Yarrowia lipolytica: one gene and its partners. The protein of the gene in region 4 interacts with the protein of the main gene of each other region in a pairwise test. Links are inferred from orthologs where the notes say so. Each region holds a gene or a part of one and is shown on either strand. Other genes may lie near its edges.

What was found.
Region 1: the proteins of YALI1_E19483g (region 4) and YALI1_E02203g interact in binary tests that used the Saccharomyces cerevisiae proteins (3 or more experiments, as listed by UniProt). The link is inferred for Yarrowia lipolytica from reciprocal best matches to the Saccharomyces cerevisiae genes UTP5 and UTP15.
Region 2: the proteins of YALI1_E19483g (region 4) and YALI1_F23133g interact in binary tests that used the Saccharomyces cerevisiae proteins (3 or more experiments, as listed by UniProt). The link is inferred for Yarrowia lipolytica from reciprocal best matches to the Saccharomyces cerevisiae genes UTP5 and IMP3.
Region 3: the proteins of YALI1_E19483g (region 4) and YALI1_E37387g interact in binary tests that used the Saccharomyces cerevisiae proteins (3 or more experiments, as listed by UniProt). The link is inferred for Yarrowia lipolytica from reciprocal best matches to the Saccharomyces cerevisiae genes UTP5 and UTP22.

What each region holds. Positions count from the first base shown.
Region 1 is NC_090774.1:218,524-222,484, reverse strand, and holds YALI1_E02203g (uncharacterized protein), read right to left. Parts: upstream 2,127-3,961; coding exon 555-2,126; downstream 1-554. Other genes in the region: YALI1_E02231g (uncharacterized protein), read left to right, coding at 1-368; YALI1_E02183g (uncharacterized protein), read right to left, coding at 2,435-3,961. UniProt on the Saccharomyces cerevisiae protein: Involved in nucleolar processing of pre-18S ribosomal RNA. Required for optimal pre-ribosomal RNA transcription by RNA polymerase I together with a subset of U3 proteins required for transcription (t-UTPs).
Region 2 is NC_090775.1:2,311,345-2,314,511, reverse strand, and holds YALI1_F23133g (uncharacterized protein), read right to left. Parts: upstream 1,172-3,167; coding exon 527-1,171; downstream 1-526. Other genes in the region: YALI1_F23109g (uncharacterized protein), read right to left, coding at 1,570-3,167. UniProt on the Saccharomyces cerevisiae protein: Required for the early cleavages at sites A0, A1 and A2 during 18S ribosomal pre-RNA processing.
Region 3 is NC_090774.1:3,734,668-3,740,581, forward strand, and holds YALI1_E37387g (uncharacterized protein), read right to left. Parts: upstream 4,025-5,914; coding exon 551-4,024; downstream 1-550. Other genes in the region: YALI1_E37392g (uncharacterized protein), read left to right, coding at 4,562-5,536; YALI1_E37419g (uncharacterized protein), read right to left, coding at 5,896-5,914. UniProt on the Saccharomyces cerevisiae protein: Involved in nucleolar processing of pre-18S ribosomal RNA and ribosome assembly.
Region 4 is NC_090774.1:1,945,556-1,950,128, forward strand, and holds YALI1_E19483g (uncharacterized protein), read right to left. Parts: upstream 2,783-4,573; coding exon 557-2,782; downstream 1-556. Other genes in the region: YALI1_E19458g (uncharacterized protein), read right to left, coding at 1-248; YALI1_E19488g (uncharacterized protein), read left to right, coding at 3,255-3,872; YALI1_E19494g (uncharacterized protein), read left to right, coding at 3,869-3,917, 4,004-4,374. UniProt on the Saccharomyces cerevisiae protein: Involved in nucleolar processing of pre-18S ribosomal RNA. Required for optimal pre-ribosomal RNA transcription by RNA polymerase I together with a subset of U3 proteins required for transcription (t-UTPs).

The DNA of each region.
Region 1 (3,961 bases), about 1.7 Mb from region 4:
AAGAGCCTAAGATCGTTGATGTTACATTCGACGGGGAGGAACCTGATGAGCTGGACGAGATCATGGGAACTGTGGAGGTCCATAATCCTTATGATGAACCTGTGCAGGACGATTTAGATTGGGTTCATGAAACTGCTCTTGAAGGAGAGACTGCTCTCAGTGCTCCTATCTACAAAGAAGGTGGTATCAAGAAACGCAAGCATCAGACGCAGAAGCGAACCACTAAAAAGGCTATTGTGCGAGTCGAGTCTGAACAGCACAAGAAGGCCAAGGTGGATAACGACAACTTCTCCACCACCAACAGACTCAACACGGGATTCAAGGTCAATATGGGACAGAAGCAGTGGGCCTCGAGGTTTAAGAAGTGATCGCCCTAGCATTTAACATAAGCATACGAACGCATTTAGAGATATAACATATACAGTGTTTTTTGACTAGCTGCCATGTACAACTACTTACATACTAGTCTACAAGCAGCGATATAACTACAAGTACCATTTTCCCAATCATTATCTAATATCTATTCAACAAATGCATCCATCCTTTTGCTCTCTCTAAACACTGAGGAGCTCCAACATACCCTGGATCTTCTTGCTCTCCTTAGCAGTCTCGACCTCGGACTTGAGAGCGTCGTAGAACTCAGACACCCGCTCTTCGAGTATCGGGCTCTTGGTAATCACACTAGTGTACATGTCCAGCACGACTGCAACGTAGTCAGCAACAATGTTGATGTATCGCGAGTCAGCAATGGCCTTGGTAGCGAACTCAAAGAGAGGCTCCAGAGAGTCCTCATCTCGGTTCAGCAGTGCAGCTCGCACCTTACCTCGCTTCTTGAGCTCTTCCAGAGCCAGAACAGAGGTCTCCAGATGCTCTCCAGACAGTGCAGCATCGAGAGCATCACCCCATCGGAATCCGAGAAGCAGGTTTTCATATCGCTTCAGCAGCTTCTTGTTGGGCCGCTCGTGCTCCTCGACAATGACATGCTCAAACTGACCCTCGTACTTGGTTCCTCCAAGCACGGGTCCCTCTGCCTTCTTCTTCTTCTCCTCCTCAACAGCAGCCTTCTGGTCCAGAACCCGTCCGTTGCTGATCTTCTCGTCCTTCTTGGGCTGCTGGGTTCGAACAGCGACAATACCGGAAACCAGACCGGCCACAATATGCTGGGAGTCTAGAGACATACCAGTACAGAGCACTCCGGAGCCGTACTTCCAGCCGTAGGTAACCTTGAATGAGGTATCATCAAAGACCTTGACATGGCCGTCTAGGGAGCCAGCGAAGAATCCAGAAGCACCGTGAGTAGGGGCCAGGCAAGTAACGGTCTTGCTGAAGTTGCCCATTTGTCGGATGGTCTTTCCGGTGGTCATGTCCCAGGCCTTGACAATGGGACCTCCGGCAGACAACACCATTCCGTTGTGGTAGAGGACATCCTCAACCGGGTGATCCTGAGCCAGAGAAGAGATGGGGGTCTTTCCGGATCGGGCGTCGTAGAGTCGAACAGTTCCGTCGTACGAACCAGCAGCGACAACGTTGGCATCGACAAACTCTCCACATCGAACGTAATCCTGAGCGCCCTCAAACTCGATCAGAGGAGTGGAGCTGGTGATATCGTAGAGCTTGACGCTTCGGTCGTCGGAGGCTGTGAGGAGAGTGGTGAGGTTTGTGGGGTGGAACTTAGTCACATGAGTGGCCAGTTGGGACGCCTGCAGAGTCACCAGAATGTTTCTCGACACGGCATCGAAGATCTGAACCAGACCTGTAGCATCACCGGCCACAATCAGCTTACCATCAGACCGGAACTCGCCGCAGTATACAGTATCCTTGAAACGAGAGATAGTCTTGGTGACTTTTCGGGTCTTTCCAGAGAAGATCTGGATTCGAGTAGACGAGGTGACGGCAAAGTCATTGTGATGGTTGAAGGAAACGTGAGAGATGGCATTGTACTCTTTGACGAGCAGAGGCGAACGGTAGGTTTTCCAGAATTTTTGCTCGGGCGTCAAGTCGGAGCCCTTTTTGACCTCCTTAGCAATCGTCAACCGGTTCAAGGGGGCGGACATTGTTGATTTGCTTGTGTGGTGGTGGTGATATTGAAATCTTGCAGATGGTTTCCAATTTTTTCTGTTGTGCATGCACCTTGAACTTTATTTGCGGAGGTGGATTTGGAGATATCCACTGTCGAACATAACTACAAGTAGCTTTATGTTATGGTGAAAGGGGTTGTCACTAAGTGGGATTAACTGGGGGGAGGTTGATATTGAAAGGCAAACAGCTTCTTATAATCTTTCGTGATGGCTAATGGCCTGCTTGTTGTAGGTTTTGCATGCGTTTATCTTCGCGTATTACTTAGTATTACTTAGTAACTTACTTGAACTACAGTTCAGACACTGGCATTGAAAAATGCAATAAATACAGATGTCTTCTCATCTCTGGGAAGAAGCTATAGAAACACCTTGGAACTCTCCTTGGAGTCGTATAACGCACGACCAATCTGACGGTCCAGCTCCATTCCGTAGCCACACTGAAAGTACGACCGGTCAAACCGACAGATGTAAAATCCTGATGGCAGGCACAGCATCTTATGGAAAGGTCCAAACGGTCGTGGACACTCCATATGTGTGTCTTGGGCCAGAAATGCCGAAGTTATCATGTGAGCACGTGCACTAGCACACTCAGAATTGACTCTGAGATCAAAGTACTGATCACGCAAGACAGCCAACAGAGTGGACTTCCAGTTCTTGTCCTCTTCCAGGTTGAGCTTGGAGAGGTTGGGGAATACAGATGGATCCAGCGGAGGCAGAGGATCAGTTGCCTCCAGTTCTAGAGCCAAAACAATCACTCCCGTGAACACATGGTAGTAAATGTTGTTCCAGTGAAACAGAATGTATTGTTGGATCTGTGGAGGAGCAGAGTAGAGATAGAATTGGTTCTCCAGTAGCTTCAGAAGTGACATGAGTCCAGAGAGTCGGTCGATCTTGCCACATCGGAAAAGCAAAAGATTGGCCTTGTGCCATTGTGTTGTCAGTGCCAGTTTCTTCATGAACTCCATAGGATCTCCCTGGGGAAGAGTATTGATTATCTGGTCGATTCGCAGGAGTTCAGCAGGATCTGAAGAATCATGGCTGTTCTGCAGTCCACGGGTGAACATGTAGAGCTTCTGGGTAGTGTGTAGAAACGGGTATGAGCTGAAAGGCAATTGGGGGTATTCTAACCCAGATTTGTGGCCTACAAATGCTTGGCAGGCGTCGAAAAAAGTGCCAGAAACCGAAATGAGGTGGTTTGCAGCTTCCTTCACGTCGCTGGAGGCTGTAAAGGGAGGCAGAATCCGTTGGCTCATTGTTACCAACAGACCACACAGAGACCATCCCACCATAAGACAGTCGCCAGAGAATGAACTGTAAATGTAGAGCAGTGCTGCTCGGAAGTCGTCGATCGACGAGGTCACTAACAAGGGTATTCTGTTGAGGTATTGCTCGGCGCGATCAGAAAAGTGGATGACGGCTGAAGCATGCAAGGTATGTAGCAGCGAGTCGAAAGCGCAGGACTTGCAACTCAGGGCGTAGACTGTGTATATCAGAGCCAGGAAGGACGGTGGTTGTGGCGGTGATGGCGGTGTAGGACCAGCCTGCCCGGGGTATAGGTTTTCATAATGTTCTTCGAACTCCTTCCAGTCAATAATGGGGAAGAAGGGGTCCACCAAATTCCTATAGTTCTCGATCAGAATGTCGCTTATGTTCTTCGGGAGCGGCTCGTTGGCAATGGCGCTCTCGTACTCTTCTGTTTTGTAGGAAAAGATGCTGAGGGGATTGTTGTTTGGCGCTGTTTGGATCGGCAGGTGTTTTTCAAACAGGTGGATGATCTCCGAGACAGAGGAGGCATTTGAGAGAAAGTCAAGGCTTGTTTGGGTGATAAAGGCCGGCGACTTGACCTCCTTATCCTTGCTCTCCTCCCATCGAGAGTTACTGCC
Region 2 (3,167 bases), on a different chromosome or scaffold from region 4:
ATTAGCATACGGTATAATAGAGTCACCACAGGGACCCGACAGTAGTTAGTGGTATAAAGTGATCACTTGATTGTCATCACTTCGATTTAAGTGGTTTGGTTGTGGCTACAATGCTAGCCTATAGGTCCAGTGCCTCACTTGTAATCTGAGAGACAGAACCAAGGAGATGCAGAGTCTTGTGCTTCTACCATATCGTATAGTAGTACGACTTCAAGTACCAGCGGCGTGTATCTTTTGTAGGCTTTCTTGTAAATATGAATCTACAACGGTAGTACTTGTATCGTAACTGACATACTCGCCCAGACAATACCAACAACCGAGAGATCAGACAAGAGCACAGTGATTAAGGAGACGACGCTCAAAATCTGAAGTCATTTAGTTGAACATATAGCAATGAATGTCTTCGTTTCACCTGATAGTGTTCTTATCGACTTGACAATAATAAAAAAGCGGACTATCCCCTACTTCTCCAAGTTCTCTACACGCCTTCTCATTCCGTCTAATAGTAGCATGCATAAATAAAAACTTACATAGTGTTGAAGTCGTCGAGCTCGTTTCGGTACTTGAGAGTGGCCTTCTTGATCTTGGATCGGTCGGTCCAGGTGACAAAGTCCTCCATGTTTCGGGTCACCAGAAACGCAGGGTCGGTGACAATGTGAGGACCCACTCTCACGTGACCCTGCTCGATCATGGCAGTTCCAGCGTCCAGTTTTTGGGTCATCTTGAGTTTGTGCATGATGACGGGGAGTCGTCGCTTGGCGATAGCAGACACAGATATCTTGGTCTCCAGATGCGAAACGGTGGTGTTAGTGGAAAGAATGCCCATCTGGTAGAGTTTGTCGAGAAGCAGCTTTTCGTGCTTGATTCGAACAGGGTCGTCCGGTTGGAGCTGAGATAGCTTGTATGCTAATTGTCGGATCTTACCGCAGATTTTGTTGTACTTGTTGTAGTCGTCTCGGTCCTGCAGATGGAAGGTGCCCATCACCTGCTGTTCACGGTGGCCATTATCTGTCTTCCAGTTGACAAAGTCGACCTTCTTGAGCAGCTTGCCCTCGTGGTGCTTGAACTGTCGTACCATTTTGTCAAAGGTGTTGTGAAGAAGTGGTGATATCTTTCCCTGCACCGTGAAGAATAATTTGGGATTTTTTTGATATAGAGTTTTGCCATGCATAGAAGCGAGTATCAAGGAAAATGCTTAGATGGGTATTTGGTGTGACTACCACCGAGACTACTTGTAGTATTGTTTGTGTTGGTTTTTGGTTTGATTTTTTATTTTTTTTAGTTATTTTTATTTATTTATTTTCCAACTATTAAATATGCCATACCTTGGTAACTTGTTAATACTTCCTTTTCGATCTCCTTCTATTTCATTTGGAAATTCTCAACATTTCTGATCTATGGATTGATCTTTCCAAAAAAAATATATATGTATATATCAAAGCATCCCTCTCTATCGTATGCACTTGTACGCGAGTGGCAAACAACTCTTTACTTGTAGTAAAACAGTATCCTCAACTTATCCTATCATACCTCTATTACCAAATATATCTTTATACAACGTGTTTTCGCTTAAAGCAGGTCAACAATGAGCTTGGAACCCTTGTTTCCATCCTCGGCAGCAGCAGCAATCTCCTTCTTACTGTCCTTGAGAGTCTTTTTGAGCTCCTTCTTCAGCTTATCGTCCTCCAGGTTCTCCAACAGAGTCACAATGACAAAAGCACCGTCTCCAGTGGCCCATGCGACAACGTGATCCCCAATTGCATCGTAGAACTTGGCACCGAAGTCGATGGGAGTCTCGACCTTGACTACCTTCTTCTCCTTGTTGTTCCAATGTCCCTGTTGAATGAGGGTTCGCAGAGCTCGCTGAGCGTTGGGCTGCTTGATGACGTGGTTGTCACCGGCGGGATCGGCAGACAGAACCTCCATAAGAGCAGCGATAGCCTCAGACTTGTCACCGTCACACGACAGAAGAGCCTCAGAAATGAACTGAGAACCCAGGGTGTCGTTCATGAGCTCGTAAGCGTTGTTGGCAATGGCCTCGAGAATCAGAGGGGACATTCCCTTGTTGATCTCCTCCAGTCGAAGAGCATCATCCTTCTTGGCAGTACCAGTTGCGGTCTTCATCTCATCGTACTGCTTGAGCTGATCCAGAACCAGCTTGTTGAAGTATCGAGAGTCTCGGCCTAGCATGGCATACAGGAAGGGTCGTCGACCGTTCTTGTCCATGAACAGCTCATGCACGGGCTTCTCGGAGAGCTCACCAGAAAAGGCCTTAACAACACTCTTGGTATCGTCAATGGTGTCAAAAGCAGTCATCATGACCATGTGTCCGTACTGATCAGCAGCCAGGGTGTCGGCAAAGCTCTTGAGCGACTTGAGAAGACCCTTCTTCTCCTTGGCAGAAGCCATGGCCAGAGTCTTGCAAGCCACCTGCGATCCCTCGTTAGTATGCACCATCTCTGCAAACTGCTCGCCAATCAGATCGATGAATTCGGTCTTCTCCGAGTTGTTGGTGTCAAGGTTGCTGACGTACTCAAGCATGGCAGCATGAATGACGGTGAAACCAATGGAACCCTTGTTGACAGCAGCAGTGATAGTTTCGTTCAGGTTTCGCATGATGATGGGTCGCTTCTCGGGGGCGTCCTCGATAATATCCTTAAGGGTCTTTGTGCCAGCAGCGTCTCGGAAAACGGCAAACTCGGCACCGAAAAACTCTTGGATGATTTGTCGCTTCTGAGCAGCAGTGCTGTAGTCTCTGTAGGCATCCTCCAGCACATAGGCACCCTCCTTATGACGCATGAGCTTTCGGAACCGGCCGTGCAGCTCGTCAATAATAGATTGTCGAACGGCAGCAGATCCGTAATGCAGCATCTTGACCAGCAGGTACTTTCCGTAAGACGAGATGGCCAGGTCGTAGTAGTTGCCCTTCAGCGCCTTTGTGATGATCTCTCGCTTCTCCTTGTCAGCGTACTTGAACAGAGTCTGGATAATTCGCGATGCGTCGTGCTTGAGAATCAAGTTCTTGATATCGTTCTTGGAAATGGCCCAGATATCCTCCACCAGCTGCTTTCGCTCAGCAGGCTTGACACCAGTCTTCATTCGGAGCCGCTCCCAAATCTGCTTGATCTGAGCGATACTCTCTCCTCCAGATCGAGCAAGCTTTCGTT
Region 3 (5,914 bases), about 1.8 Mb from region 4:
CTTTACTACATACTTCATCAGCTAGGACTCTAGACCGATTCCGCATCAAGAATTGGTAAGGGTATAGATTCATCTACAGCAGCTGATCCCATATGGCTATCAGATAAAATCGGTACCAGTCTATGTAAGGCTGCCCGTTAGAGCTGTTACAAGATGATGTTATGTTGAACTACATACACACTGGACGGTCTGTGAGTACAATGGAAGGTGCAAGTTCTCAATTACATTCTCCGAGTTTGAAATACAACATATTTCTTGTTTTCTGGTCCATATCGCTCGTGCAGACGCAAAGCAATGGTTCAACGGTTAGCCAGCTAATGCAGGCTGTCCACTGACGCACTCATACTTATTGTAAAGTATCAGTACGCTGGTATGCACTTGTGCAGTAGCTAGTGGGTGTGTACACTCTGCTAGTTCGGGTATGTTGGCCTGTAGTTCTTCCAAAGTCGGTTCAAATACGTACTGCGGTGTAATATATCACTCCATCTAGACTCCACCATCTTCTTCTAATCTAATCAATGCATCTATTATTAAATCCTCCACGAAGCCGCTATTTAACATCCACCTTATTAATCAAGTCTCCTCCGATTCGCTTGATCTCGCTAATAATACCCTCCTGGTCAAGAGTCACCTTGGAGCCATCGGGAACGGTGGCGTACTCCAAGTTGACACGGAACTTCCGGGGCTCCTTGGCCTCAGGGAGCCACATTCCGGCAATAACTCCAGAATCCATGGCCAGAACGTCCGAGAAGAAGAGACAGGCTCCAGCATAGGTGTTGGAGATTTCATCGTAGAACCGACGCGCCTCGTTGCAAGAGTTGGCAACCACTCCGTCGTCATTAGGGAAGGTTCCCTTGACAATGGCCTGCAGATTCTTATACTTCGAGGTCTTCTTGGGCACCTGGTCCTTTCGCAGCTTGATGGTAAAGTCGTAGGGAGCCAGAGAGGTGCTGAAGAGCGACTCAAACTGCCCGTCGGTATCGATTACCTGCTTGGCAGCCTTGGCCAGCGCTGTGAGACGACCAGAAAGCATGATTCCGGCCCCCTCGTGCTTGGGAGCAGACCACAGAGCTCCGTCCTCGACCTTGGTTCGGGTGGTGGCCACAAATAAAGGCACTCGAAGAGCAGGGTCCAGGTGACGATGTTTGGCGAAGGCAGCGGTCATCTGCGCATGCACAGCAGAGTCGGTGGTGGTTCCAGTCACGTCCGAAAGATTTTCCTGCACAGCCAGTTCTCGGGAAGGATCGGGATGCACCTCCACATCGAGCAGTAGAGGGTTCTCCTTCCAGTTCCAACGCGCCAGGAACGCAATGACTCGGTTGAAGGCACACGAGATGCTCTGAGGAGGCACGTAGGGTGCCGAAGACACGAAGGGCTGCAGAGCAATGAGCTCCCACAGCTCCTGGGGGAAGGCGGCAGTCATAAAGTGGGCGTCCAGCCAGGCCTTTACCAGTCGCACGGTGGCTCCGTACAGAGGATATCGGGTGGTCATGGTGGTTATGAGCCGGGTGTGGTTAGGGGCGTCATTGAACTGTCGGAAGGCGAGGTGTCGAAGAGCAGCGTTGGCGTTATCTTTGACGAAATGTTTGACCAGCAGTTCGTCAGTCTCGGTGATAATGTGCAGTCTGAATCCGAATCCCTCCGGCGTCAGAACAAGAGCAAACGCTTGCTTGTCGTTGAAACCAACAATGACTCGATATCCCTGGTCTGCCAGCTTCTTTCGCATATCCAGCAAAAAGGCCAGCTTGGTCTTCTCCATAGCCTCAATCTCTTCGGGCCATCGAGACGAGCTCTCAAACTGGACAATTGCGTCGCAGAAAAAGTCGCCGTTGAGCTCGAAGGGCAGAGCAGGCGACACATCGGTCGACCGAAGAGCCGAAGAGGCGGGAAGAATGTTCTTGACCACCAGAGGCAGCTCGATTCGATTGACGGCAGCAGTGAGATTGACAAGAGCCTCGGAGATGAGCTTGGAATGGGCGTCGGTCACCTCCGTGATCATGGTCTGGTAGTTGTCGGAAGACAGGTACAGATCAGCCAGACACGAGGGAGACACATGGTTCTCCAGCACAAACCGAATGATCTGAGAAGTCACGAGTCCTCGACCGTTCCACACGGTGGTCTCCTTAATAGAGCCGTCAGCGAACCGTCGAAGCTCGGCCTTGTCGCCCCAGAAATCTCGGAAAGCTTCACAGGCCTCGGCATCGTCGTTGGCGGGTCCATGAGTGACAGTTCTGTTGCAGTCGGCAGTGAAAAGCAATCCCACAGACACCTCGCCAGTGGTGGAGGTCTCGAACTTGGCATCAATGTCCCAGGCTTGGCCAGTCTCCATGGAGACAGACACACAGGCGACTCGGTCATCCAGACCCTGTTTCAGAACAGCGTAGACATTGTTGGCGAAGAAGTTGCCAAATGACGAGAACTGCACTTTTTTGGATCCAGTGAAAGGATGGCCCTCAATCTCAGTCACGGGGACACGCACAACCTCGTCGAAATACAGCTTGGGCTCGGCAATGTATCGCAGGAACAGGAGTCCAAATCGGTCCACCGTAGTGTCGCTCAGGAGATCAAAGGAAACTCGAGACTCGTGCTTGATGAGATCATATGCCCAGGGCTGGACCTTGGCGATGATGTTCAGACCAGTATCAGAGTCCAGAACACAGGGCAGTCTGGTATCATTGTCTTCAAAGTGAGCGTCGTTGCTGAGCTCAAGGGCTGAAGAGTAAGTCCAGGTCTGCCGGGTCAGATCCTCAATGGCCAGGAACCGTACCACTCCCTTAAACAGCTGGTATGATGAGTATCCGGCATGCAGCTGCTGCTTGGATCTCAGCAGAGCAGCCATGAGCATTCCAAACTCCATGGCTCCAAAACCTCCCTGGCCCACAGCTCCAGAGAAGCCTCTCTGCCTGAGCCACAGGCTTCCCAGACGCCAGGCAGCCACAAAGGCAGGCACGATCTTGGCGGTCTTCTTCAGGAAGCCGAGGTATCGGGTTGTGGTCATGTCTGCAAGGATAGCAGAGTTGTAAAGGGGGGTGGGGGGTTCTTCTCCGTCCTTGGATCGCAGACAATTTCGGCCAGGGGCCAGTTTCTTGGTGTCAAAGACATCCTCTTCGATGACGGGAAGAATTCGAATGTAGAAGGGCGACTTAGGGCCGAAATCGGTATCGCTTTTGTTGATTCCTCGAAGCACAACCACAGGCCGAATATCGTCATCCAGAGTCTCGTAAGACACGCTGCAGTCGAGCTCCTTTTTCAGAGCAGCAGCCAGAACAGTCAGATAAAAGGCCCTTTTGTGAAGGTACCGGTTGTTGAGGAAGTCCTTTTCCTGAAACAATTCTCGAGGCATAGTGACGGAAACATCCACAGCCACACGCTCCTTTCCAGGCAGTCGGTTGACACTACCCAGAGCAAAAGATCCCACCACATTCACATCTGAAGGCTTGGCAAAAGCAAATTTGTACTGAGTCTTGTCACTGGGTCGGTTCCAGGGGATCTCCACCTGCTGGGAAGAAGCCCACTTGCTAGCTCTGGACACATCGAAGGGACCAGCCTTGGGGATCTCGGCGATGATCGAATGGACCCGATGGAGCATTTTGCCAATTCGCTTGGTGTGTTTCTCATCCACGTCCAGCTCCTTTAGCAGCTCGTCAATCTGCATCTTGAAGATGTTACTCTTGAAGAGTTCAGCAGCCTCCTTTGCAGCCTTGATTTCCGCTGCAGAAAGCTGCAATTTGGCCTTCTTTTTCGACACTCGGCCTGGTTTCTCCTCGTGTTCATTGTCCGAGATCTCCTCCTCCTTGTCCGAGAACTTGTCTTCGTCTGAGTCGTCATCAGCCCCGGAATCGTCTTCGGAATCGTCCTCTGAGTCGTCGTCTTCGCTCTCCAGGTCGGCGAGAGAGGTGATTTCGGGCTTGGCCTCGGATTTCACCTTTTTACTCTGGCTCTCATGCTGAGAAGCCTTGGATAGAGGTCGCTTGACTCCCATGATTGTGTTGTGTAGTATGCGTTTGAAAATAATCCATATCATGCATGAAATAATTTTTATAAGGTTCGGGTTAGGGAGTAAGCCCAAGACTTGAAACGTGACGGGCTGAGATTGATCTTGCAATGGAGAGGCAACGAAGCGACGAGACGGAATTTCTTTGGGGCTCTTGGTGTGCTTAGTCAGTATACTGGTCTCATTTTCTCACTTTTCATACACACACACACACACACACACACACACACACACACAAGAAAAGACACTGACACGTCTCGAACTGGGGATGTCCCCATACAGAGTTTAAACAATTCTTTCCACTAAATAGTTCCATACTTAGTCCACACAGTTGAAGACATGGAACTCTATTTGTGGGTCCCCTCATATCACTCAAGGAGACATTTAGGAGACAGTTAAAAGTGTTCCATACAAGTAATAGCTATCAATGTATATATTTGTCTCTGTTTTATCCCGTCTGTATTTCCCCCTCTTCACCCCACCTCTTGTTACTACAACCACCATCGTTTGCCACCCCAGTTTAACTTCAGCCCACATCACATCAATCAACCCACATAGAGTCAAGACATGACACCAAAACCTCCTCCAACAAAACACAACTCAGCACAACACACCACCACAACCATGAAGCTACATACAGTCACGTCTCTGGGGGAGTTTGACAAGGTGCTCAAGTCCGAGCTAGTCATTGTCGATTTCTTCGCAGAATGGTGCGGACCCTGCAAGGTGATTTCACCCTTTGTCGAGACCCTCCAGTCCGACTACAACCAGGTGCTATTTGCAAAGGTCGACGTGGATCAGGGCAAGGACATTGCTGCCAAGTACACCGTGTCTTCCATGCCCACTTTTGTGTACTTCCACAAGGGCAAGGAGGTCAATCGGGTCGTTGGAGCTGACAGAGCCGGAATTACTACTGGTCTGGATCAGTTGGTTTCCCTGAACCCTGCAGCCGTCAAGTCCCTTCCTGGAGCAGGAGGCGCCGACTCTGAGGATGCTGGCTCCACTGTCAACTCGACTGACAACTCTGCCATCGCAGCTTTTGTGCCCAAGAACATGGAGATTCTCAACTCTGGTATTGACTTCACCTCGACCGAGGCTCTCAACATTGCAAACAACGGCGACGTGCGAAACGTGCTGACCAACGGGCTGTCGGGCGATCAGGAGTTTGTCTCCGATACAGACTCGCAGATGCTGCTCAACGTGCAGCTGCAGAACAACGCCAAGATCCAGACGATTCTGCTCAAGAAGCCCGCCGTCAGTGGTGACAACCAGATCCCCTCGCATATCAAGGTGTGGGCCAACCATCCCAACCTGTCGTTCGACGACACCCAGTCGATCGAGGCCCAGCATGTCGGAGATGTGGTTTTTGATGGTGAGTGGGCCGAGATCAAGCTCAGATACGTGCGGTTCCAGAACGTGTCGACCATCTCCATGCTCATTGAGGGAGAGGACGAGGACGAGTGCACTAATTTGGATAGAGTGGTGCTCATTGGATCAAGCGGCGAGGCTCGAAGCGGAAAGCTCGAGAAGATGCAGGATTAGGCGGCATGGTGAATGGGTTTGAACCAGTTAATGTATATCGAGTATGTGCGACCCAAGCACATTGGTTAATGACATCGTAGATGTATCGTAGATGATTGTATGGTGTTGGTGTAGCTAGTATATACTATAGATGTTGAAACTGTACAGAGCCATGAGACAGTTATGACATATCGAAGCATGTCTGGAAAGCAAAGTAGAGAACTATTAACGAGTAGCTGAATCTCAATTGAATCATCGACTGGTAGCATTATACAATACAAGTACCAACTACTTAGACTGAAATCTTTAATCATCTCACTCTCTCCTCTAATAAATACTATATACAATATTCTGTTGTCCTTTGACAAGTTTTCACCCCTCTACTCCCAAGTAAACCTC
Region 4 (4,573 bases):
TGGAAAACTCGCGATCGACCGCGAGTCTCATCTCGTACCACCTTGGTGTTCTTTGCACTGAAATCAAAAGTGCTGAGCTGTCTGACGGCCTCATCTTCTTCGGTGATGCTGATGAACGACTCCTCTGCATCCGGAGAGTCCAGAGGAGGGTTGGTGACCACAACGACTTCGGGATCCGAATCCTCCGAGCTGATGACCTGTTTTTTCGTCGGCTTCAGCGCACTCAACGCACTTTTCCGCTTCGTCATGGTGGCTTTGAAAAGATTTCAACTACCCAGTGTTTTTTCTCACATACATGCACATGCATAATAATTTTCGAATAGAGTTTGGGGGGGGGGGAAAGAGGAGCGGATTATACGAATGATATTGGGGGTGATTTTGGGGGCGATTTCGTGTGACAAACATGAAATATCATTGCATTAAACCGCTAACAATGTTGTCATATCCATTGTGTCAAAATTACAACTCCGTCGGATCATTTTTGAGCGTACTACATTGTGTTCTCTAGACCCCTACTTTTCCCAAACCAATGATACAAATCTATAATGCTAGTTATTTACTGCTTGCCTCGCTTCTTGTTGAGCACCTGCTTCATCTCCTCCTCGTCCGAGTCAGGCAGAGCAATCTCGTTCTCGTCCTCGTCCTCTTCGTCACTTTCTTCGTCCTCGTCCTCGTCCTCATCATCCTCACCTTCGTCCCCCTCACCCATCTCGACATCGTCATCATCGCCCATGGCCATGATCTCGGACATGTCGTCTTCCTCATCGTCTTCGTCAATGTCCTCTTCGCCCTCGACAAACTCGACCTCGGAGTCGGACTCCTCGTCGTCGTCGTTGGCGCCGTGGCTGGCGTTTCGCAGTTCCATCTGGGCCTCAAGCATCTCCAGACGGCCCTCCAGAGCCAGCAGACGATCCAGTGTGTTGACTCGGGTATTAAGAGCCTTGTGAAGTCGCGACACAGTCACCAGCAGCTTGGGCACGGTCACCAGGTATCCTCCATGTGCCACCATGACCCACTTGATCCAGGCGTTGAACTGTCGGCCTCTAGAGGGTTGGGCGGTCATCTTGGCAGCCAAACGCTCCAAAAGTAGCACGGCCAGATTACTGTTGAGTCGCTGGACGGTAGACTTGATGCCCTCCTCGTCTCGGAAAAGGAGACACGACTCGAGCAGATCGTCGTCGTCGGACTTGATGGCCTGGGTAAGAACAGTGGATAGAGATCCCATGGTCGGGGGAGCAGTTCCGGAAAGTCCGCTCTTGGTGGTCTTGTTTTCTCGCTTGAGAGCGTCCATCTTTTCGGCCAGAGTGGCAGACTCGTCGTCATCGGACTCGTCGCTTCCTACACCGTTCTCCAGCTGTGAATAGTCGTCTCCAGCAGCAATGATAGCGTCCTCCTCGTTGTAGGACACGGGCACAGTTCGCTCCTCGGTGTAGTGGTTTGCGGCGTTTTTGGGGTCGTGCACCACCGTCATGGTGGGCTCGGTCTCCAGAGCAGCCAGAGTCACGTGTGCAAACTGGGCCTGGGCCCGCTCGGTGTACGAGTAGTAGGCCTCCTTGGCGGTGAGCGCGATGGCGTCGATGACGAGGTTCTGGCCGGCAGCCTTAGTGCCCCGCTCCAGGTCCAGCGATGCAAACGAGGACTTGGTGACAATGCTCTTGCGCTTTCCCTTCTTGCTGTTGGGGGTGGATCCGTTAGTCTGGGCGAGCTGGAAGAACTCGGCGGCTCCTCCCTCTGTCAGGGCGGTGAGAATGTCGCCGTTCATGGAGACACGGTGGGCACCCGACTCGGCCATGAGCACCAGCACAATTTTCTTCTGAGCCACGTTAACCACGTTGATGAGACGGTCGCCAGCAACGGCAGCAACAAGGTCACCTCGAACACACAGCTCGGTGACAGTAGAGGTGTGCGAGGGGATATCAAACAGAGCCGAGTCAAACGAGACGGCCGACGAGTCATCGCCCTGGGGGCCGTAGACGGCGATGTTGTGGGTGGCCAGCAGCACGTTACCCGAGGGCAGAACGGCCACCAGCTTGGCGCCGGTCTTGTCCACAGATCGTTCCACAGAAGAGCCCTTCCACACGTTCAAAAGACCTCGGTTGTCAAGCGAGTAGGTGGTGCCGGAGTTGGCGTCGACGTCAAAGTCGGCCACAGGCAGAGAATGGCCGCCTCGGAGAGCAGACACAAGCTTGGCCTGGGCGGGAGAAAAAGTGAGAATGTCGCCCCGGTTGGTTCCCACAGAAACTAGATATTCCTCGGAAGAAGCAGCCGCCGAGTCCTGGGTCTTGGTCTTCTTGCGTCGAGAAGACGACGAGGCGCCCTCGCCAACGTTCTTGGTCCACTTGAGAGCAGTCACAGTGGTGCCCTTCTCCAACACAAACTCCACGGGCTGGAGACTGGCATTGGCGCCTGAGACCGCCTGGACACGGATCTTGTGCTGGTTAAGCGCACTTGTGACGCTGGCGTACTGCGTGAGAGCGGGATCGAATCGAGACAGCTGTTCCGACATGATGTGTGTGAGTTGTGGTGGAATTATCTGGCTTGCCTGATGGTTGTCCAAGTGCAGGAAAAAATAATTTAAACTCTGAATTTTTTTTCTGCATGAAAATTGACCGAGACTTGTATTGTAACAAGTACATCTGGTGTGGTAGAAGAACAGAGCAGAGAGCGTTGGAGTTGCGGGGAAGCGTGGAAACGGGGAGTTTTGGGGGGTTCCGACTCTTCGGTGTCGACCCGAAACGTGCTCGACACAAAATATCTCCTCGTATTTGCCACTATATGTCATTCTCGATGATCCACCGTAAACGAGGTTACTTTAGCATCACAACGGGGAATCGAACTGGCGCGCTGTCGAACGGTAGAGGAGTTGGCAGGCGGCGTTGGTTCGATTTTGACCTGTGCCCGGAATGGGAAACATTTAGTTGTCGTGTAAATCCTCCAAGACGAGACGGTCGCAACAAACCAACTCAACCATAGTACACCATTGTACAGGAGCTGTACAGTAGCTACACGCCCATAACGATCCCACCAATACCAGATTGACTCATGCACTAGGGTTAGTCACCGACAACACATAATCTGTTTGTCTCCAAATGCTCAACGAAATACCACACTTTGGACCAAACCGGTCCGATAGTCGTGATAAACACCCCCGGTTTACTCACTAGCCGAAAAACTGGACCCCTTGCAAGTATTTGTTGGCGTTTTAACAGCTATGTAACCCCGATGGTCTAAACTGAGCTTGTTCATTGTCACCAATGTTGTGGTTCGGAGTGCAACAGAACAACCCAAAGTCGGTTCTTGTCGCCAACAGCCGGCTGTTCCCTCCTTGGTCTCCCCCCTCCCTCCCCGCCCCCACAAAATTGCTCTGCGACGTCTCATTGAGTCTGAGCTACGTCTCATTGAGTCTGTGCTACGTCTCATCGAGTGTTTGCCATCACGTGACGGGCCCAAAAAAAAAAGGTTTCTCTTTGAGTTCCCGCATTTTAAGCTCATTCTGGAACCTTAAACGGGGTAGTAGTTGGATGATGGATGAGAATGAATTGACTGACAAACTTGTACGTGTTTTGAGGGAACAGGGTTGGTTGCCCAAAGGCACCAAAATCAACAGATTAAGAGTGGGAAATACAATTCTTGGGGCGTGGCTCTGGGGGGGGTATGTAGGATCACGTGACCTGGCTGGATCGGTGGCGCCGTTCTCCCAGTGCGACTTGCACTTTCCTGTAGGGTGGCTATCACTGTTTACGACTCTTGAACTCTATCTTTGGGAGCTCGAAAAATATATAAACATGCATAAAGCATACAAGGCGCGTAAGAGCGACGAGTCCACCACGGCACAACCACACGTTTACCACAACATACACGCAGTGAAATGAGCGACAGAGAAACTTCAGGGAATGACGACCTTTCGTTGCCCAAGGGTGAGTAGAGCCGGAGGGGGGGTTGTGTTTGTGTTTGTGTTTCTGTTTGTGGGGGGTTGAAAGTTGTGGGTCGGTTATTAACCCAGCCACGGTGCAGAAGATAGTGAGCGAAATCATTCCGTCAGACCTGGCGTTTGCCAAGGACACCCGCGACGTGTTGATCGAGTGCTGCATCGAGTTCATCATGATGCTGAGCACCGAAAGCAACGAGATTGCCGAGAAGGAGAGCAAGAAGACGATTGCGCCGGAACATGTCATCAAGGCTCTGCAGGAGCTGGGATTCATAGACTACATTGAGCCCATCAAGGACCTGATTGTGGAGCACAAGGAGGCGCTCAAGTCGCGGGAGAAGAAGGTTGGAAAGCTGGAGCAGTCGGGCATGACCGAGGAGGAGCTGTTGAGAAAGCAGGAGGAAATGTTTGCTGCCGCCAGAAGCAAGCTCAACAACAACGCATAGGGTGGGGGAGGGGGACAATGAGGTGGCGACACCAAACGGTTGGATAATGGGATAATGGGATAAATGGGCTGGTTAGGACAATGTGTGCTACATACAGGATAGTCTACGTGTGGTCGATGTGACGACAGTTGCATCCACGAAACGTACTAATTGATACTGTGGTGTTGGCTCTATGTCAACATCTTTTGGCATGGTGATC